Linked DNA regions of Lytechinus pictus. The protein of the gene in region 1 purifies or fractionates together with the protein of each later gene. This does not show direct contact. Links are inferred from orthologs where the notes say so. Each region holds a gene or a part of one and is shown in the gene's direction. Other genes may lie near its edges.

Region 1 (7,653 bases):
TACTTTGTTTTAAATGTTCGTATTTTGTTATTATAAATCATTCAGGGAACTTCATCATGTTAAAGCAGCGCAATAAGACCACTGACGAAGTCACGATGACATGAAAAAGACGTAGTGAATCGATGAATAAATAAATGAATTATGAAATAAACCGATTATGGGGGAAAGCAAAATGCAATGAGAATATTAGCCCATACAAAAATGTAAAATATGACATAGCAACTATATGCTGCATTTAAACAATTTCATTAAACAAAACGGGTTTTTAACGGTCGATTAAAGTTTATCCAACATGATTGTGTAGTCTTCCAATATGATGTAAACGGCGTTGAACGTGTGGGGGAATTTGTATCGAATGAAATAATTGTTACTCTGTAAGCAGGTACGGGAAGATCGTATATGGTTAAGAATAAGTGTAAGTTTCTTATTAAAAAAATAAATGAATTTGATGTACATGTGATTTTATTGTTTTCTTTGTGTGTGTGAGTGTGTATATTTTTTAAATATTGGTTTCTTCATTTTGTTTCTGCAGTGGCCGCGAATGTGAGCCAAAACAGACTTGATGGGGGCATAATGTGGAAAAAAATAGCCTCTTTAAAATGAACATCCAATTTGTGATAGAGTGTGACATATTGAACAATTAATATCACATTTCACCCCTTTCCTGTACCGTTTTTGTTGTTGTTGTTGTTGTTCTCCAGGGGGGGGGGGGTGGATCAGGATGGGATCAAAGTGATGGGTTGCCGGGATGGCCGGGTTCGGAGATGTGAGAGAAGGGAAAATAGAGAGAAGGAAAGAGAGCTGAGAGACATGTGAGAGGGAGAGAGAGAGAGAGAGAAAGAAAGAAAGAAATTCCGACAGGGGAGAGGGTGAGAAGGAGAGGGCGGATTGGCGGATTTTATATGACGGCCATCAGAACACGGAAAGTTAATTGATACAAAACAACTTTCACCGTGAAGAAAATTATAGTGCTAAAATGTGCCTAGACCAAAGAGATATTGACAATGAAAAAGAAATCTTTGGCTTTTGAATGAGGGCAATAAATAAGGATCAATCCGGAAAGAATGACCCTTAATCATCAAAAATAACTTTTAGAATTCTTTGTTTTGCTGCATGAGTTGGCCTATATGGACATGCAGTGCGCTGCGTGTACTGTAGTAATTTACATGAAAAAGTAAACTGCGAGTTTTCTTTGTGTAGGATAACAAGAGATGGCGCTGTTCACAATCGATAGCGGTTTTTACATTCGATTGCGATTTTCGATACTTTGACCATGGGTCGTAATAGGTCCATGCTTTGACCAAGGACCTACTAGTATTTGGTTCTGAACAATATAGGCACCTAAGACCGCCACTTTCGGTAGTCGCATTTTTATAAGGGCAAAATTTTTGTTTTTAAATGAAAAGTTGAAGGCTTTGGAAAAAAAAAAAGCTAGACTGCAGTCAGGCACAGATCAAGAGGAGGGTAAACGATGTCGTACCAGGCTTTGGTGAGCCAAAATAAGGATTCTTTTTGACGGATTCCGGAAATAAGCAAGGGAAGTATTATTCTCGTTGCTAATGTTATTTTAGGGGGTAAGAATAAAGGGTAATTTTCAGTATTTTTTTCTTTTGGTGACTGTGGTCAAAGTGTTATCTTTTCGGAATGAGATCCCTTTTCTCAGTCTTAACTGTGACAATTTTCTTTAGTGTCATTAAAAAAAACCAGATTTTTTTGTACATGCATCGGCCAATGCATGGGCATGCCGTCAAAGCTGAGTTGCCGCTCACTGATTGAATGAAAGGTGAGAATTCTTCATTGGTGATTGGTGGCGATGCTGATTTCTAGGTGACCTCCGATGACCTCCTAATTTGGAGGGATATGGGAAGAAATAGGCCTATACCGTCATTGCAAAGTTGAGTGAAGATGAATTTGCATATAAAAAAAATTGCATGTAACTAATTGCAAACCCACCACAGAGAAGTTTACCCTGATGACAACCAGTTTACATTGGGTTTGATGTAAAAGCAGACAAAAATATTGCAGAAAAATATCGGCACTCCTATAAAAAAAAATTTTATGATGATCCTTCAAGGAATAAAAAGAGCTATGAATTTCTTGTGAAAGAAGGCAAAATCCAGACTGGTATGTGGTATCAGAGTTTATTCCAAGAAAACCAACAGCCTCGCTGTGGAACACAAGTGATAAAAATACATTTGTAAATACATATTGATAAAAAAATGACTTAAGTACTGCATTAATTCCAATTTCCATGTCATCAGTTGTTTCTATAAACAGGTTATACAATATGGTTATAAGTCACAAAATGCCATATATTATTCCTACATGCACACATGAGGGTTGAGCAAAATATATATATATATCTAAAATATAACCCCATCACATTGCAGTATGAATATATCAATTTAAAATAGTTCCTGGAGACATTGCATAATAACATGACATCTTTTATTGCAATAAAATAATTCCGATAAAAAATAAACTCACCGCCCACACTTACCCATTCCTCTAGCTGTCCTTTATAGGCATATACATACAAGCATTTATATCATTTATTGAAAACCATGCATGTGTTGAGCTAAATAGGAAAAAAATGAACATCATGGACCAGGGGAGTGTTTCATGAAAGGACATGTCTGACGTTTTATCCAAGTCCCATTTTATCCGACAGTTACCATAGGTGCAGTGCTTGTCAGCCAATCAGAATAAAGGAAAGATGTCAGATCTGACAACTTGTCAGACAAAAATATTGATGAAACGCTCCCCTGATCTGACGGTATTATCGAAAATAATTATGTTAAACAAAACAATTATTCAAAAAAAAATTACATCAACATAAACCAGTAAAAACTTAACTTGTCACGTTCATGTTATGCTAACCAATCAGATAATGCACTGTGAAATTATAACAATTGCAAAGTCGGAACTTCAGAGGCATTATAGAATTATTGACTATAATGATCCCATGGCCATGGGCATCATTATTGAGCAATAGTAGAACACATAATCAATAATTATTAGTCCATGTCAAGCATAGAGGGATGCTTGAATGCATCCATGGAAGGAATTTTGAAGAAAAAAAAACTATTCATTTTTTTTTAACTAAGCCAGTTCTGTAAGACCAATAACCGTATAGCCAATTTCACATTTCAACATTTAGATATTTGTGACGTCAATATGAGAGTATAGCTCCCCCGAAAATGTCATTATAAATTTTCAGAGCATGCATGTTGTTGTTGTTGTCAGGTTGTTTATTTGGGTTTTAATGCGAAAACATTCAGGTGTGAATATTGATGCTTATTTAATTGATAATTCTTATTTTGTGGTTATCTTGGTGTGATAGATTTGTCAGCGCTGCTTTAAATGGAATTCATAGGAGATGACTGCTTATCACAATTGAACAGCAGATATTATACTCGGCATACGGGAATGTGCCGCTCTAAAATCATTCAATGAACAACCCCCCTTCCTTCGATCTTGAGTAATTTCTCTTTTTCTCGATTGGGAGAAAATTCTTAATATTGGGTACACTTTTTTGCCAAAATTACCCTTAAATCACCCTCCAAACCAAATCTTAGTAGACATGTACAACGCCCCCCCCCCCCCGTATAGTTCCGAAGCCCGTTCTGAGGACCCTCCTATTTACAATTAGCACGCTCCAAGGCCCCCGTTTTTTGTCTCGCCCGCGGCACACCCCTACCACTTTTTAGTCGAGTGCCCCCCCCCCCCACAAAAATCCCCTGAAAAGTGAAAAGGGTGCAAATTAACACAACAACATTTAATTACTCTGCCAATTTGTTATGTTGTGAGAATTTTCATACAACACTGAAGACATGCCGAGCAATAAAAAAATCCTTTGGATGACTTTGTAAATATTATTTTTCTCCTGCAACCCTATCTCTCTCTCCCACTGACATTCTGACTGATCGCGATACTTACCAAACGATACTTTTGTTTATCGTTGAATTGCGCGCGCTCATTTGCAGGTCATCTGGTGGTTTCCCTTTGCAATTTGCACGCGAGTACCCTTAATTTCGTGCAAAAATGGCTGATTTAGAGGAGAGAGAAGACACCCCTTCACCCCTTGGGAACCCGGTAAGTAATTGTTAACCATGATGATGCTATTATTGTTTAATTTTGTCGGTTTAAGTTTGTTTTATTTGGTCTTGAACTTAGCGGCGTTTTATTACCCGTCGTCATTTTCATTCATTTGTCTTGGTCGGTCCCATGTATTGGTTTGGGTGTAATGTATGTTTTGACATGATAAACACTGAACAAAAGAATTGTGATGACTGAATCTGATAACAAGATGTTGTTGACATTGATGAAATTGAGAGTTTGATGTTGCCGTTGTTGGAGAGTACTGTAGCTGTTACAGCTAAGCGAACAATGTCATCTCAAGTCATGATGATAGTACTGATAGGAGACGTCAATTTTTTTCTGATTCTTAGATAGGTACGCTACTCTAGCGCGAGAGGGCGCGATTTTCGCGTCATCATTTTCGCGTACGAAAATGGCGACAAGCTGCTTCGGGAGCCGGTGCGAGCAATAACGGCAAGCCCTACTTGAGTCTCCTGTCTAGGATGGTAAACGTATATCAATGGGAATGAAAACGATGACATCATCTTCCCAATGCATTCAGCTATACTGCACGGTAAGCTCTTGCGACGGAGGGTCGAGATCGGAACAAAAATTGCACTAAAACAGTCTGTAAGTACAGTTTATGCATCAAATCATCATTATATGTTATTTTCATGGAATTATCAGACATATTACGCTAAAAATACATATGCTACTCGAAAATTGAAGTCGTAAGCTTTCATTTCTTACCTCATTCATGGCAGCATTTCTTGCCACCATTTGCCACGGACGAATGTTAAACGCCCTTGCTATTTGTTTCGTGGGATTTTCGTGGGAAGTTTGGCGACGCGTTTCGCGGGCTAATTTATGGCGGCTGCTAGGGTTTTTGGTTGCCCGCGGTGTGTAGTCCTGCGCATTGGAATTTGTGTAGCAGACCGTCTACCGTGATATGTCTGGTATTTCTTTGATTTAAAAAAACTTTTTCTTTTTTATAAATTAGGAATTGAAAACCAGACACAAATGTAGAAATCAGAAATACATCCCACACTGACACATTCATTTTGATTGAATAAAATATTGAAAAAAAATGGCAAATGACGCAACAACTTTCTGAATCTTCTCGAACCTAATTTTAGCCTTTACTTTAGTCTTGATTTATTATTTGATGATTATATTCTGTTGAAAATTCATGTAACATGATTTCTTTTGGCCTAATAAAACTTAAATTTTTTATTATTTTAAAAATGAATGGCCTAGATCTAATTTAATTCATTATCATTTTAATTTTCTTTTGTTTTCATTTTTTTATTTTCATTCAGATTAATTTCTTACCTCCATTTGAGCATGGCAATACTTACTGATCTGAAGTCGAGGGGCCCAACAATGAACAGACTTGGGCTGCATGAGCCGTCGAATATCTGTGGTTCCAAGAAAGCGTGATGGAAATGCCGCCTTAAAAAAACCAACCCCACCTCTGCCTCTGGGCTTTGTTCTTGGCGATCCTGCATTCCATTCAGACTGCAACTTTAAGCAGGAATTGTTCTACCAACTACTTAATTATTCACAAATATGAATTGCAGCTTTTAAATTGACAAGAAAGAAACAATTGATTTATCTCACCCCCCCCCCAACTGTCTTCTAACATTTTCTATCGCCCCAAACTAACACTTTTTTTCTTGTATGTCTGTTTAAATATTTTTATTTAGACTTTATGTAATTTTTTCATGATTTATTTAAGAAGTATGAGCAAAAAAACAAACAATTTGGCACATGCAGTAGAGAAGAGAAGGAACATAGTGTTGAAAAAGGATACACATACAGATCTGAATATTAAAATAAATTTTAAAAAGAAATGACAAATCCACACTGACACATGAAAGTATTCATTTTATTTTTTTTCCTTGTTGGCATTGGTTACATTAATTAACTCCACATAAAAATATAAATTGGATATTTTAACAGTATTAATGAAGTTGCTCAATAAAATTTAAAATTAGGTATTCTCATTGGAGGTAATGGTTGATACAGGTGGGTGGGTGGACCTGCAGCCACTAGCGTACCTATGGGGGGGGGGGGCAGACTGCCCCCCCGACGAGTCACAACCCATGCAAGGGACGTATCCCTGCCCTCCCCCCCTGATGAGCCACCGGTGGCCCCCTCCTTTGAAGTTTAAGACCGAAAGTACGAAATCCTTTATTTGTGGTTGAAGACTTTTTTGCTTGTCAAATTTTTGGGCGGACGATTTTGCCCCCCCCCCCCCCCTGTGGAAAATCCTAGGTACGCTACTGCCTGCAGCTCTATTGTTTTATTAGATTTTCATTTTTTATTGCTGGGGGGGGGGGGGTATTATGTAGAGCTGAAGCCAAATGATCTTATGAGGCAAGATTCAGTGTACAGCTCAATATGGTGCATGTAAAGTGATTTATTAAACTTTTGAAATATCAATTAAGAACTGGAATGATGAATGATATGAATATAAGAAATATATTAAATGCATGTAAAGTGATTTATTAAACTTTTGAAATATCAATTAAGAACTGGAATGATGAATGTTATGAATATAAGAAATCTATTATATGCTAGTTCATCACAACTTTAGCTGGATCTTGCTGCAGAAAGTGCATCGTGTAGTTCTACAAATATCTCTGGTGAGAGGCAGTTTGGCAGAGCGGATGCAATGCTTCATAGGGCCCCTAACATTTCTGTGGTAAGGTCGAATCCAAACTGATGTTTTCATCAAATGATACAGCCTCCTGGCTACAAAAATTTCCTGTAGATGAAAGAGAAAACAAAATAATGAATGCAATGAAATTGGGAAAAAAGTGAGGCTAGAGGAGCAAAAACAAAAGCAAATGGTTGTAAAGTTAGTACAGGAGAGGAACAAAATGAGAAGAAAGGAACTCACAGAAAAGGAAACAAAACAGAGAGACAAACTTGAGACTAGCTCCTTTAAAAAAAGTTCTGTATGGTGTACTATGGATCTGTAAAAATATTTTAAAATTATGTAAAGTTTCAAGGATTGAGCATGCATAGGAAATCACGTAAAGGCAAGGATATCAAGTCACGAATAAAAACAAAAAATGAGGGGGGGGGGAATGGGAATTACATCACCCCCCCCCCACCCCGCCTCTCCAAAAAAAAAAAAAAAACGACTTTAATAACTTGTCAAAACTCTATCTAGTATCAGCTTATGTTATTATCCTTTTTAATGTTATTGTTAGGGATCGAGAGAAAGGATGAACGCGGGGGGGGGGGTGCATTTTTCGGATTCATACTTTCAGGCATCAGTGTACTGAAGGGGAACATTTAACATAGGACTACAAAAAATTGCGGTGGACAGACAAGAAACAAGAAATGATGATTAAAATGAAAGAAAAAATTCTCGATCTCAAAACAACTTGAAAAAAGAAAGATGCAAAACCAAATGTTATCAACTCACTTACATATTATATTTGAAATCCATCCCAATGGTCTTCCATGTCGTAATTGTGCACTGTAATTCAGATAATCTAGTTAAAACATGTGAAATTAACTTCAAGTCTCAAATCAATCGTCTTGCACACTGTGCCTTGC
Region 2 (6,977 bases), on another chromosome or scaffold:
AGGCCTACGACTATATTTGCAAATAGGGCAGCAACTGCTCGCGGAAAAAGGATTTCCAAAGAAATTTTGCAACAATGAAAACTGTTTATGATTTTTTTTTCTTTCTCAAGCTTTTACGAATCCTTTGCAACTCTAACGTTTGCGTCCTAGCTGGCAATACCTTCTCAAAACCTGCATCGGGGTGGGGGGGGGGGGGTACTCGCGTGTATATCGCATAAGGGGATTTGCCGCAGCTCTATAGTTGGTCGTTTTTTGCAACAACAAGAAAAAATCCTTAGACATGGGTCTTGCTATATTGCAAGAAAGCCATTGGTCCTATTTTGCAGTTGAATAATCCTTAGACATGGGTCCGTTTCTGAAAAAAAAACCAAATATGCCTATACTTATACGAATCCCCGGGAAAAGCCCCCGGAAATGTCTATGTTAGTCCCGGTCCAGAGTACGAGTAGCCGGTACCCATGGACGAGTAGATTCTACCTGTATAGTATTTCCACATCTTATTACGATAGCAATGGGCACCGGGGTACGTCACTCTAGGCACACTCGGCCGACCATATACAGTAGGCCTACCCTATATAGTGCATGCGTGCAGCGCATGCATAATTAATTATTGTTGTATTGTATTTATTCTACATTCATAAAAACATGCAAAGTACGAACAAAATACATCAGATATAATTACAAAATAAAATGAATACATATGAATGGCTAGATTGCCCACTCACATTGGTAATTATTACCACTCTGTTCTGCCTAGGGGTCCAGAACGTAATAAAATAGATCAAATTGTATGATTGCAACAACAAGTGTTTGTAATGGCAAATTTTCAGGTTGGAAAATCCAAAATGTTCAGCTTTTCTGAGCACTTCTTTAGAATCAATTTGTAATAATGAAAACTTGATATGCGGCCTAACTTATGTTTGTATAATTTTTCGAAACCGGATATTCTAAGCTTCTATCTATTTAATTTAACACTCAATGCGTACGTGGAATTGTTTTTTTCCCCCAAGTCTTCCCCTCCACTTATTTCATCTACTTGTCTTCCTCTCCTTTCCATTTTCCTTTCCTTTTTTCTTGTTTTTCCCTCTCCTCTCCTTTCCAGTGGCGTAGCTACGGGGGGCCCGTGGGGCACGTGCCCCCTGAGATTTGGTGTGCCCCCCCCCCCAGGTGCCCCCCCCCCCTGAAAAAAAATTGGCAGAGCCAAAAAAAAGAAAAGAAAAAAGGAAAAGAAGAAGAAAGACAAGAAAAAAAAGAAGAGGAAAATAAGAGGAGGAAGACGAGTGAATGAAATAATGTGAAGGGAAGACTTGCAAAAAAAAACAAATCTTTCATGTTACTTTACAAAACTTTTGCTTGCGCTTCGCGCCAGAATTGCCCTTTCGATGAGATTCATATCTTGCTCAATAGGCTGATATGGAGCAATTTTTTAAGTCAATATACGAAATATATTTTAGCTCGTACATCGAGCTTTCATCTTTTTTTTTTCATTAACAAATTCAAGTGCTCTAGCTGTAAAATGTCACTTTTATATAGTCTACATATCAGCATTTTTAAGCTCACGCTGCGTGGTCAAGTTGTTTGATTTGCCAAGTTCCTATTGTCTACGTGTATTCCATAATGTTCCATTAAACTAATGTATTCATACTGCCCAGATTCTAGGTCTTAATCTAAAACATGCGCGATAGCCTGCATGTTGTGTATATTAAATGTACTTAAATTATCCAGTTTCACATCAAAATATCAATAATTGTCTGCTCACTCTTTACGGTCGCATTATTAATGATACCCAATTAACTATATCCTTTTTATGATTTACAAAATATGAATAGAGTGTCCCGCTTTTAGGTCTAAAATTTCAATTTTCTTCCTCTCGCGCTTCGCGCTCGCATCAATTGTTTAGTAACATACCTATCCCATTTATTAATACAAAAAGTGCTTAGAATGACAATTTTTTAGGTCGGAATGTCAAAAAAATTTGCTCGCGCTTCGCGCTCGCATTATTGAAATATATACCGTCTTCGTGGGTAACTGTAAGCAGTCCTTAACAGGTCCCTTTTCGATAATGCTAGAACAGTTAATAAAAATTTCTGCTCGCGCTTGGCGTTCGCAGTAACCATCTAGTTACATACGAATCTTGTTCAGGATCACACATAACATTGCCCAGAATATTAAATTTTCAGGAAAAAATACATGAAAGTAACAAAAAAATCGCTCGCGCTTCGCGCTCGCACTTTTTATAAGGCTTATGAGATTATTTCATGTTTTTGTTGTTTTATAAGAATAAAAATAAGAAGTGACTGATCGGGGGAAAAATAGGTGAAGATAATTTCGGGCCCCGTCCCCTATTGGCGAAAGTCGGATCCGCCCTTGTGACACATACACACACAACGGAAAAAATTGTGCCCCCCTGAAAAAGCAAGGACCCCCCAGTGCCCCCCCCCCCCAGGAAAAAAATCCTAGCTACGCCACTGCTACTTTCCACTTTCCTTTCCTTTTTTCTTGTTGTTCCCTCTCCTCTCCTTTCCATTTTTCTTCTTTCTTTTTTTATACTTTGTCCCCTCTCCCTATTTTCATTGGGCCTTGAATGTGTTTCGCCCGGGGCACGCGCCCCTGCTCCCTTTCAAAAATCCTACGTACGCTACTGTCTTCTACCCCCCCCCCCCTAGAAAAGGCCTACTATAAAAATAAAAATAAATGTCATTAGGACTAAATTGACACAGGCCACAGTAACATTTCACTTTTTGGGGAAGTCTTCTATTTTTTTGTTTGTTTTTCAGTGCTAAATGCTTGCTTGTCGATTTTTTTTTTCTTAAATGGTACGTAGGCCTTCTCCAGGCTGAAAATAATGTGATTTGAACAGACAAATAAAAATCCGACAAACAAAGCACTCGAAATTTTATGAAAAATGGACAAGGAATAAAAAATTTATGACATTTTAGATATTCTGATAATTTCTGTAAAACAATGAATATTATGCATGTCTTCACGAATATTCAATGAGCAATCTGATATTTCCACGTGTTGTTTTGTATTTTATAACATAAGATCTCAATTCATTCGAAGTGTGACCTCGAAGAAAAAAATGGACTGGCAATTGATTTAATGCATTATAGATATTCATCACTGCAACTTATTTTATCATAATTGATAAGGGTGCCATATCATGATAAACACACAGACAGACAGAATAGATAGATAGATAGATAGATAGATAGATAGATAGATAGATAGATAGATAGATAGATAGATAGATAGATAGATAGATAGATAACTGGTTTATTGATTAAACATCATTGAGGCATAGCCGAATTGCGATGAGTTTAAATAGGCATGCATTACATTCATACAAACATAATAATACAAAAGGAAACATAATAATACAAAAGGAAACATAATCACGTATCGTATATTCACAATATCATAAAAAGGAAATGCATTTTAATTGTTATAGATAGGGCCTCATGCAATGGAAAAGTATATACGAACTTTCTACAAATTCAATTTAAGTATTGGACCATATGAAATCACAGAAGGGGAAAAGCACTGCATGTAGAGTGCATAAATCATACATGTATAGTCAATCACAATTTTACATAAAAAAGAACTTTACTATAGGGTTCATTTTGAAAGTCCATTTACTAAGGCGCATGGGTAACTCTGCGCTCGATCGATCGGATGCCCCTGCTCAAAACTTGCATCGGCTCCTAGCAAAAATGAAATCCTGATTTGAAGGGAAAATATTTTATTTCTCTTTGTATTTTTTGCGGGAATTATGATATCGGTCATTTGGTGGCATGATACCACGTGCATCAATATCACTGAAAAATACCATGCACATGCATAATCGCAATAGGGGGGCGTGTCCCCTTTTTTGTTATGAGCGAGCGGCATGCAGATATATCGATTGAAGGAAAAAAAACACCGGTAGCAGTTCTTATGAACTTTAGACTTTGGACTTTGAACTTGGATTGCAAATCTGTACATGCAGCCAACGGATACATGTGGAAGAACTGCACAGTTGTACTTTGGACAGAATAATATCACAATCAAGATTGTCAATCATCGTTTTTATCTGCAAAGATACCATTAATTAATATCGGCGCATGCGTGTAAATCTGTCCACATGTTGACTCCGATCCTCCGTCGTGTCCTCTCGGCTGCTTTTTCCCAGAGAACTTATTCCAAGATCTCTTTTACTCGCCATTCTCGACCTCGAATAGATTTGTCAAAACTTCAGTTCAGTGACTGTCGAATTTTAGCGATGGCTTATTCAGTTGAACCCAGAGGTGCACCCAATTCGCTCGACTACCGTCTGTTCTTCAGTAAGTACCTCCTACGGCTACGGCTCTTCTCTGCAGCAGTGAGCAGGTCGTCGGAATCGCGGCCAGGCGTTGCCCATCCGGGCGGCGTCAGTATCTTGAGTTGACCGCCCACTCGCTCAGCTCAGGAGGCCGGAGGCGATTTGTCATTGACATGTCGGAGCTGGAGTCTGAAACACAACTCACCTGTGGCAGTGCAGAGTCCCACTTAGCCAGGACTGAGGCTCCTAGACTAGAGAGTGAAAATCATTCACTAACGACTTAACGTGTGCTTACTCTCCATGGATGGAGCTTGGGAGTGGGATTGCGTCCCATTCATGTGCGTGTACCGCGAAAAAAACTGAAATTTTTGCCCCCAAGGCCAAGTCCAAGATTTATATTTTCGTTCTAAAAGATCTAACGTTAGCCCTAAATCATGTAAATGGGATACAACTTCATTTCCGACATTTATATGACATTGATTTCATTTTCAAACAAGAATTCATTAAAAAAATGAGAAAAATATTATGAAAAGACGGAAAAAACCTGCCGCGATCGCGATGTTTACATGTACGTCGCCATCTTGTTTCTTTTTGTTCTTTGTCAAGATACATGACGCATATCGGATATGCGTCTTGTATCTTGGCAAAGAACAAAAAGAAATAAGATGGCGACGTAAACATCACGGCAGGTTTTCTCCGTCTTTTCATAATATTTTTCTTGTTTTTTTTAATGAATTCTTGTTTAAAAATGAAATCAATGTCATATAAATGTCGGAAATGAAGTTGTATCCCATTTACATGATTTAGGGCTAGATCTTTTTTTGTTTTAGAATTAGAAGGAAAGGAGAAATCTCAGGGCGAAATTTTCAAATTTCAATTTTTTTCGCGGTACATGCACATGAATGAATGGGAGGCAATCCCTGGCTCCGTGGTGAGTAAGCACACGTTAGTGACTGACTTTAGAGAGTAAAAATTTTCTACTCTCTAGGAGCCTTCTGGCTAGTCCCACCGAACTTATCGTGCATGCTGTATGTAGTGTTCGTGAATTTTGCAAAAAATTTAGTAAAAAATCAAAAATGTAAAGTTTCAAAATTTCTGGGGAGGGGGAACTGCCCCCCCCCCCCCCCAGTGTGTATGATGTGGTTCCAAACTTCTCAGACTTTTCAAAAGTATTCATTAGGCTTAAATTTGTCCACAAAATATTCACAATTTATAAAAAAACCAAAGAAATTGTTAGGGCCTATCACGGCAAGATCGTAAACGTTTGCCAGTATTGCGATCTCAAAATTCTATTCCGATCGAGGAATGCGCGCTTTGGTGGAAAACCGTTCTGAAAAAGTGTGACCTAACTTCGTGGACCAAAGTTTTTGTGGAGATTTAAATAAAAACTCAAGCTCAAAAGGTGAGATATTTATATCAGATTGATGACAAAATGCTATAGAATTAGTACCATATTGAACTCACATTTTTTTATGATATCTGCTTGCAAACAAAATGATGATATCGTGATGCTTGTTGAGAATATCAAATTTCTTCGGAACGGGCACTAAAGGTGACAAATTTGCTGATCTTTTGTCAATATTTTCGTGAATACTGAACTCATCGTAAAAAAAAACTTATGCCAAAGGGTAATTTCAGGTCGCTTTTCACGTTGATGTCAGATTTTAAGGATATTGGCTAGTTTTTTAGATAGTGACCGTTTGCGAAGTATGGACACACAAAGTTTGGAATCACTGCCATACTGTGTATGGCCATGCACCGCAGTGTCCCGGAGATCAAGAAAAGGGGGGGGGGGGGGTAGTATCATAGCCATAGGAATAAAGGCTGGTGTAAAAATAAAACTGTAGACTGACTGTACTGTAGGAAGGCGACAAGTTGTAGAAAATAGTTGGTGAACTGGGCCCGATTGGAGGCCACATGCTTGCTGTTTATGTTACGTTAGGGAGAAATGAAAAAAAAAATGTCCTAAACATGATATTCCCCGCCAAGTGTGATATAAATTCCATGAATTTCCTTTTTTTATGGAATATGATAAACAAATTTATTTATCTTGTCAAAGGAGTTGAAAGGATCGCACAAATGAAATCAATTTCAGAATTTTGAGAAAATTGCATTTTATATGACACAAGATATGGAAGAGCTGATTGTCTTTCTGTGGCATCATAAGATCAAAACTTTGTAATATAATATTAGATTGATTTTCATAAAACTTTCGCCAATTGAAATTTTTCTCAAATTTTTCTGTTTTTATTAAAATCAACTTATCAAGGCAGACTTCTTACAAGTATCAATCATAAATGTGGACTCTTATTTCTATCCTCTACACTTCAGCTTAGATACCTATTTAGATTTTTGGTTTTCCTTCTTTTTTTTCTGTATTTCTAGGGAACAGCGATGGTCAAGTGATTTCACCATTTCATGACATTCCACTATATGCTGATAAAGATGTAAGATAATTATTAATTCATTTTTTCTCTCATTTTTAAAAATTTGTATGATGACCTTTTTTTTTGCTCTGTGTTTACATCATCATAAATTTACATATCTTTTATGGTTCTCTTTCTTACATCATGCCATAGCCCATCTATTTTCCCACATTTTCTTGTAAAAAATATTGATTCTGTGATATTTACAATAATTGCACTCTTGGAATTCTTCATATTTAATAAAAACAGAA
Region 3 (7,817 bases), on another chromosome or scaffold:
ATAAAAATCATTAATGTAGACCAAAAAAAGAAGCGGACCCAAGATTGAGCCTTGGGGGACTCCACATGAGATAGATTTGGGAGGGGAATCTACATTTGCTATGGAAACATATTGCTGCCTACTGCTGAGGTAGTTCCTGAACCACTCCAAGGCTATCCCTCTGATTCCATAATAATTAAGCTTGTATAAAAGGATATCATGGTTGATTGTGTCGAAAGCCTTGGAGAAGTCCAGGAACACCCCAACAGTATGCTCATACTTGTCAATTCCATTGGCAATCTTATTAATCGTTGACAACAGGGCATGAGTAGTACTATGTTTTTCGCGAAAACCAAACTGCAGGGGATAAAACAATTTATGTATATTAAGAAACTTTGTCGTGCGTACAAAAATTACTTTTTCCAAAACCTTCGAAAGGCATGTCAATAATGATATGGGGCGATAATTTCCCAACACGGTGTTGTCGCCTTTTTTAAAAATGGGGATTACTCGGGCTTGCTTTAATGAAGAAGGTACAACTCCTGTAGAAAGAGACAAATTAAAGATATAAGTCAAAGGTTTAATAATGTGTATCAGGTTTCTTTTCAGGAGAATGTTACTTATATCGTCACATCCTGAACTCATTTTATTCTTTAGTCCAGAAATTATATCAGCTAGTTCTTTTACGTCTGTTGGTGTGAAATATATCGAATTTGGATTAGGGACATTAAGAAAAGATGTGAAGTGTTTAGAAGAGGCAGGGATTGTGCTGGCAAGATTTTGGCCTACGGATGCAAAATAGTCATTAAAAACATTTGCCAAGGCAAAGGGATCCTCTACCAATTCACCATCAACATTTATTTTCGTGGGCGTAGACATTCTGAAGTTACCTTGTATAACGTTTTTTATAACTTTCCATGTATTTTTAACGTCGTTTCTATAGAGGTCAAATTGATTATGAAAATAATTCTTTTTACATTTTCTCAGTATACCTGTCAGAATATTTTTGTAGTCAGTGTACTTTTTTCTATTACTGTCGCAAGGCTTTGAAATAGTTTTTAAGTAAAGGTTATTCTTTCTGTTTATTGAGCGCAAAATGCTAGGTGTAATCCATGGGGACCTTGGAACCTTTTTGTAATTAGAGCGTTTGAATCGCACTACGGGAAAAGAGCTATTCATTAATGGATTCAATTTATTCATAAAAGCGTCAAATGCATCCTCGGCATTTTGAATACTGTAAATTCCTGACCAGTCAACATTTCCTAACTCTTCATTGAACAGATTCATATTATTTTCAGAAAAATCACGTCGAGTATTATGATCAACTTTGTGTTCAGTGGCGTTGGTATCTAGTTTAAAATGCGAAAATATGGGAAAATGGTCCGTCAAATCAGAAAGAATTATTCCCGTAGAGAGAGTACTTCTGGTATTTGTAAATATATTGTCGATGAGAGTAGCCGATGTACCTGTGATTCGAGTTGGCTTGGTTATCAAAGGAAGGAAACCTGCTGTCATTATTACATCCGAAAAAGTTTGAACAAAAGTATCAGTATCGTATTTTAGTAAGTCAATATTGAAATCGCCGAGTAAAAAACACGTTTCATTGACCATCTCATGGAGTGCCAATAACCCATGGAATGTATTTAAAAAGTCATCGTGGGAGGAGTTAGGCGGCCTGTAAATCGTTCCAACCAGAATATTTTTGTCGTTGGGCATAAGAATTTCAACAAAAAGTGTTTCAATAGCATCATTCATTAGAGTAAGATCAGGCCTTAACCTGTAATCGAATTGTTGGGATACAAAAAGAGCAACGCCTCCACCTGATTTCCCTATTCTATTATTTGTGACCAAATTATAACCTGGCAGCGTATAAAAGGATAGTTGAGTAGAGTGGGAAAACCACGTTTCTGACAAACCTATCACAGAACAAAAGAGCTTAGAATTCAATAAAAGGGAACGAAGTGATTCAAAATTTTTGTTGGCACTGCGAATGTTGCAATGTAGCATTAGAAAGTTACTGTTGTCAAGTTGTTTCGACGCTATCTGTTTATCAGTAAAATAGAGCGAGGGGGTATGTTGATACGTATTATCATTAGGATCAGAAAGAGAATCAAGATTAGCTTGTGCATTGAGAGTTTGAGCTACGGAGTCATGAAAAACAGAATTTTTACATTCATCATGTTCATCAAACTTCGAATTAAAGGCAGCCTGGAAAGTATCGTGTAATTCATCATTATCTATATCAGAAAATGGGAAATTTGTGTTTACAGCCATCACAAAGGATGTCTAGGGGATCTCCAGAGATAGGGAGGAGTATGCAGATCAGCTAAACGAAATAACACAAGACATGATATTACGAGAATGACAGATACGAATACAGACAAATAACGACAAACACAAAAACAAAAACAAAACAAATATACAGTAGCACTTAAATCCTAGGAACCTTCAAATTATAAAAAGAGGGAGAATATTCAGAGCTGACTATATAACAGGAACAAAATAAGCAAAGTATTTTAGGCAATATTACAGACATTAACCCTTCGAGGGAAGACGTAAAATGCGTCTATATTTTCCATGTATATACATTTCCATGAGGTGGAAGAAGAACCAACAAGCACCAGCAATAATGAGACAATTGAAAGGTTATTGGAGGAACATGCAAGCCCTTTAAATCGCAAAGCATAGCAAATGAACTAATAATAGACATTACGATAAGATACTTCGATATAAAAAGATTGGGACAGCAATCAAAATAAATAAAACGAAAGAATGATAAACATCTGATACTGTATTGTGTTGGATATGTATCAATAAGTCCAATATGTAAATAATGTTCATATATACCATTTGTGTAAGAATCTCCCAAAAGTAAGACAATAGGAGGAATTAATTTGATACATTAGCATGAAAAAAGAAAATTCTGCATAAGAAGTTCTTTGCAGTAAATCGCTTTGTGTACAATTCAAAACCTAACAAGGGTGGTGCATGCTCCCCCACAAACCCCCAAGATCACACACAGATTAAAACGGCAGATATAATTTGAAGGAATATTGTAGAAACAACAGCAAGGAGGAGAAAGAATGACCAAATGTCGTGTATTAAAGAAAAAGCATACATTCTTAGACAAATACCCATAATGATAAAGAAACATGTAACGATTGTATAAACTGCGAAAAGGATAACAATCATGTATTGTGCGACCACACTTCAAAAAATGAACCAGTCCTTCTAACAGTCTAACGACTGGATGGAGGGGCTTCTGTTGCATACTGGCATTTCAAGACCCTAGAGTGAAAGGAATAATTCAATAGTGTTCCAACATGTCAAACGTTGGTTTAATCTGTACTTTATGTAACTTGTTAGGAGTATGATTTTCAACGTTGTACCTGAGTAAACAATGGAGCGGATTTTGCGTGATATGTCAAAAAGAAACACGTACAGCATACAATAACAACGATCTAGAAGGTTCATCACAAAAGGGTCACCAAACACCAGTCTTCAACGGAATATAGATCATCTTATTTGATGGAGGATATGAAGTAATTACACTTGTTGTACATGACACTTATTAATATTATAAAACCTAAGAATACCAACATGTAGCGGTGTAATTAAAAGCCAGATTACGTGAAGTGAAATCGATGATAGTATTAATTCACAAACTCTTCACATCAATTTTAGATAAAATTTTTATCGAAACCATTCCACGGTCCGTCTCGTCCGCGTTGTTTTAGTTTTGTAACTAAATGCAATACAAACATATCCACCTCTATGCATGGGGCCTATTTATTTATTCATTTATTTATTTATTTATTGATATATTCATATTCCACGAATTCTCAAAGTACATATTCATTTACAGTAGAAATATAAATCATCTGCATGTGCAGTTTTGAAACGTACTGAAAAAAATTTAAAAAGTGGAGGGGCCTACTTTAAGCAAAGCTTTAGATGCAGACCTCCTATCAAAATTATATACAATGAGGGTAATGTATGATATGAATAAAGTGAAATAATCAGCAAAATTCTGTAAATTGATATAGATTTAGACACTGTAACACGAATGTATATTCACTATATACAAAATTATAGTAACTTTAAAATAATCAACACTTCCGTGGATATTTGATTAAATCAGTATGAATTCAGAAAAATAAATTGATGAGTAATTTAAATCGGTTCAGAGAAGATGCCTCTTTTATAAATGCTCTGTCCAAAGAATTCCTGATTTTTGGTCCTGTGAAAAATATACTCTTGCTCAAAAATACTGTTGTTTTAGGTAAGTGATAGTCATTTGACTGTCTGGTATTATATATGAATGCAAAGTATTATTTCTCAGTACTCCTTTTTTCTGAAGTAGAAATACTTTGTCGAGTCTCGTTTGAGAGGCATTTCCCCATGCTAGAATCCCATAATTAAGATCAATGCAAAATACTGGAAAATACAAAAACAACAACGCGCTGAAGTTCGATCTGTGAACAAGTCACTGCTCTGGATGCAGATCACACCGTCACTTTCCTCGAGTGAATTTTTGCAAACCAATCTAAATTCTAACCACTTCTTAAATTGCTGATGCTGTCTTGAACTCGCATTATTAGATCACTGATCTGTATGTACGTAATCACGTTGACTCCATAGAGATGTTATTAGTATATCTCTATGGTTGACTCACACTCATCAAATTGGTAGTCCTTTCACCGATTTACCAATATCATTGCTAACTTCATCCGCCTAACGCGGTAAAAAATAGTTCACTGAATTTCTCCCGCAAGCAAAGTTATGTGGCCGAGTTCATGAAACAAAACCGCTGATTGGTTTATAGCAATCAGTTGTGAAAGGTGTTTCCCCGCAAGGTCTCATAAATATAAATGGTAGCAAATAGGTTATTTGTAGTCACCGTCAATTTATATCTTAAGTTTTGCCACATCTTGTTCAAATTAGATAATTGTGACCCGGGGTTCATAGTTAAGAGGATAACGCATCAGATTTGCTTGGAAAATGCAATTGGGAAATTGGCACATATGCAGACTAAACGCGCACCAATAGGAAAGCATAATCGGAAAGGAATAACGTTGGAATGAAAAATTCATTATTTGTTATAATTTCAGACGTTTGTCACTAGATCATGTAGATCAGATGCAGTCAATCATTTATGAATTTAGAGGTATTATTTGTCATGATGTTTGGGTATTTGTAAACATGTACTTGGGCATGAAGGGGGCTCGCCGAGCGATCGATCGCGATAGCGGTAATTGAATGCATAATTGGTCACGTGGTCATCTACATCAGAAAATGGCGGACAGTGCAGAACTTGCGTGCGATTCGTAAATATAATGCCGAAATCGTGTTTCACCGCGAAGCTTGTGGATCTCAAACCTAAGTTAGGTGTGCGTTAGGTTACCAGGCACCCGCTAGCAGCCGATAATTTGTATTTCAAGATGCCGAGGGGACGTGGACGTCCGCCTAAGTCACTTGTTGATTCATTGGACGAGACGCCGGGAAATGCAAAGAAATCTGGTGGAGGAGCCGGAGTTGGACGGGGCAATGATGGCCAGAGCAACGGCTCCAGTCCTGCAAGTTCTCGCTGTAGCACACCGGTAAGTCAAGCCAGCAGTACCGGCGCAGTTGGCCGAGGGAGATCCCCGAGATTACGTGAAGCTGCGAGGCGGAGCAAGCGGCTAATTCAAGAGGTCATAGAGGCTCAAAGAAGTCCCCAGGCTAAGGCAAGTCCATCAAGCAGTAGCACAACAAGTACTGGAAAGGGGCCAGGAAAAGGGAGAGGGAGAGGTAAGACTCCCACAACACAGAGTAAACCGGGTGCAAAATCAAAACCAAAAGGGAAAGGGAAAGGAAAAAAGGCAAGGCCAAAATATGAAAGTTCAGATGAAGAGGGAGTTGATTTCAATGAGGAATTGTTGCAATCTTCGTCAGAAGATGAGATTAGTTCAAATAGTTCGCAGTCTGAATTACCAGATGATGATGAATTAGAAGAACTAGAAGAAGACGACAGTGACGACAGCAGCACGGCTGCCAAGAAGAGGTTATTACTTTCACGGACAAATCGGCCTTTCGCATTGCCATTCCTGGAGGCAGAGCCAGAGGAAATTCCTCCAATTGAACTTCCAAAATCTAGCACAGACCTCCTTATCGACAATGAGGATATGATGAATGCTCTATCTGTGTATGAAGTTCTTAGGCATTTCAGTCAACAGTTAAGACTCTCTCCATTCCGTTTTGAGGATTTTTGTGCAGCTTTGTGTAGTGAAGAGCAATGTTTGCTCCTAGCGGAAACCCACATTGCTCTGTTGTACAATCTTGTGAAGGAAGATGAAAGTAGCAGTACAACGTTTGGTCCTCAAGACCAGCGAGACAGTATCAATGTCCAGTTCTTGTTTCTAGATAATATGACGTGGTCTGAAGTTGCAAGAGCGTATGTTGAAAGTGACAAAGAATTCCGTGGTGCATTAAGTGCTCTAGAAGGAGAAAACTACCCTTTTGCTCCTGTGAGTGACAAATTAACAGTGTTGCATCTCCTTTGCGACCAGTTCCTGGCATCGAACAGAGTGCGTGAAGAGATTCTGAGTGAAGGTGCAATAACCTATGACGACCATTGCAGGTCGTGTCATAAATTGGGAGATTTAATATGTTGCGAGACATGTTCAGCCGTTTATCACTTGGAATGTGTGAATTTGGTGGAAGTACCAGAGGAAGACTGGATGTGCTCGGTGTGCAGGCAGCATCGCGTTCTTGGTGTCTATGACTGTATCTCAGAGGTGGAGAAGAGTGGACTCCTCATTCGACAGGAACCCTTGGGTTATGACAGGCATGGCAGAAAGTACTGGCACTTTGTTAGGAGAATTGTTGTGTGAGTATTTCTTCCTACTATCTGTCTTTCTTCCCATTAACTTTAGACATTGATGGCTATAAAGGGTGTGACCTTTTGAGAATCTGTAAACAATATTTCAGTCTTAAAAACAAGAAGGCACATAACTAAGAGCAAATGCATTTCCTTTTTATACTGATTTAACTTTGAAATAATGAAGAAATAAGAAATAGATTTTGCCTTAAACCTTTGAAGTGTAATATGTGTATTTCAGAAGTAAATTTCCCACCAACCACTTATCATCTCCCCTCCCTGTAAATTTGAGATGGGCTATAAACATAAGGCTTATTGAATTTAATTTGTCAAACATGCATTGGACATGAGATAAACATTATACACTGTACCCTTGCCACTGGAGGTTTATTTCTCTAAAGTTTGCATGCAGTATATCATAATCATTGATACTATTTATCTTTTAAAATATGCAGTGAAGGTGAGAACGAGCTATATTACTACTCCACCAAGCTTCAATTTGAAGAATTGATGCATTCTTTGGATGCAACAAAGTGGGAGGAGGACTTGTGTCTTGCACTGCAGGATTGTATGGCAGAGATCCTTGAACAGATGCAGAGGACAGAGGAGCTGACCAACAGCGCAAGGGGTAACCAGAAGTCAGTGCTTCAGAAGTCAACAGGTTGGTTGGTGCTGTCTTTTGTAAAGCTTGTCAGTTTTATTTCAACTAGTTTCTGTTTAAAATCAAAGTAGGCCTATGTTAACTAAAGAAAGTGAAAAAAAAGGAATTATGAACAAAATTCATAAGTAGCACCAAATTAAAGAGGAGGTTATTGTTTAATCTATTAGACTGTGAAGCTGTTATTTTCTGTGAAGGGTAAAAATCTTGAGAAGCTCAACAAAGCATGGTTGTAGAGAAGTAGGAGCAGCCTACTGCCTTCACAGCCACTCAGAGCTTATTCATTTGTTGTATTTGCTGTTGCTGCTGGCTTACAATATC

Evidence for each region.
Region 2: the proteins of SWI/SNF-related matrix-associated actin-dependent regulator of chromatin subfamily A member 5-like (region 1) and inorganic pyrophosphatase-like fractionate together in Drosophila melanogaster (co-fractionation; 4 studies listed by BioGRID, with this or other methods). This does not show direct contact. The link is inferred for Lytechinus pictus from reciprocal best matches to the Drosophila melanogaster genes Iswi and Nurf-38.
Region 3: the proteins of SWI/SNF-related matrix-associated actin-dependent regulator of chromatin subfamily A member 5-like (region 1) and nucleosome-remodeling factor subunit BPTF-like purify together in Drosophila melanogaster (affinity purification with western blotting; 7 studies listed by BioGRID, with this or other methods). This does not show direct contact. The link is inferred for Lytechinus pictus from reciprocal best matches to the Drosophila melanogaster genes Iswi and E(bx).

Annotation. Positions count from the first base shown.
Region 1 is NC_087249.1:49,687,601-49,695,253, forward strand, and holds the start of SWI/SNF-related matrix-associated actin-dependent regulator of chromatin subfamily A member 5-like, read left to right. Parts: upstream 1-4,579; 5' UTR 4,580-4,632; coding exon 4,633-4,710; intron 4,711-7,653.
Region 2 is NC_087262.1:17,331,540-17,338,516, forward strand, and holds the start of inorganic pyrophosphatase-like, read left to right. Parts: upstream 1-3,914; 5' UTR 3,915-4,123; coding exon 4,124-4,322; intron 4,323-6,685; coding exon 6,686-6,747; intron 6,748-6,977. UniProt on the Drosophila melanogaster protein: Component of NURF (nucleosome remodeling factor), a complex which catalyzes ATP-dependent nucleosome sliding and facilitates transcription of chromatin.
Region 3 is NC_087254.1:2,980,344-2,988,160, forward strand, and holds the start of nucleosome-remodeling factor subunit BPTF-like, read left to right. Parts: upstream 1-4,809; 5' UTR 4,810-4,835; intron 4,836-5,199; 5' UTR 5,200-5,420; coding exon 5,421-6,847; intron 6,848-7,293; coding exon 7,294-7,499; intron 7,500-7,817. UniProt on the Drosophila melanogaster protein: Histone-binding component of NURF (nucleosome remodeling factor), a complex which catalyzes ATP-dependent nucleosome sliding and facilitates transcription of chromatin.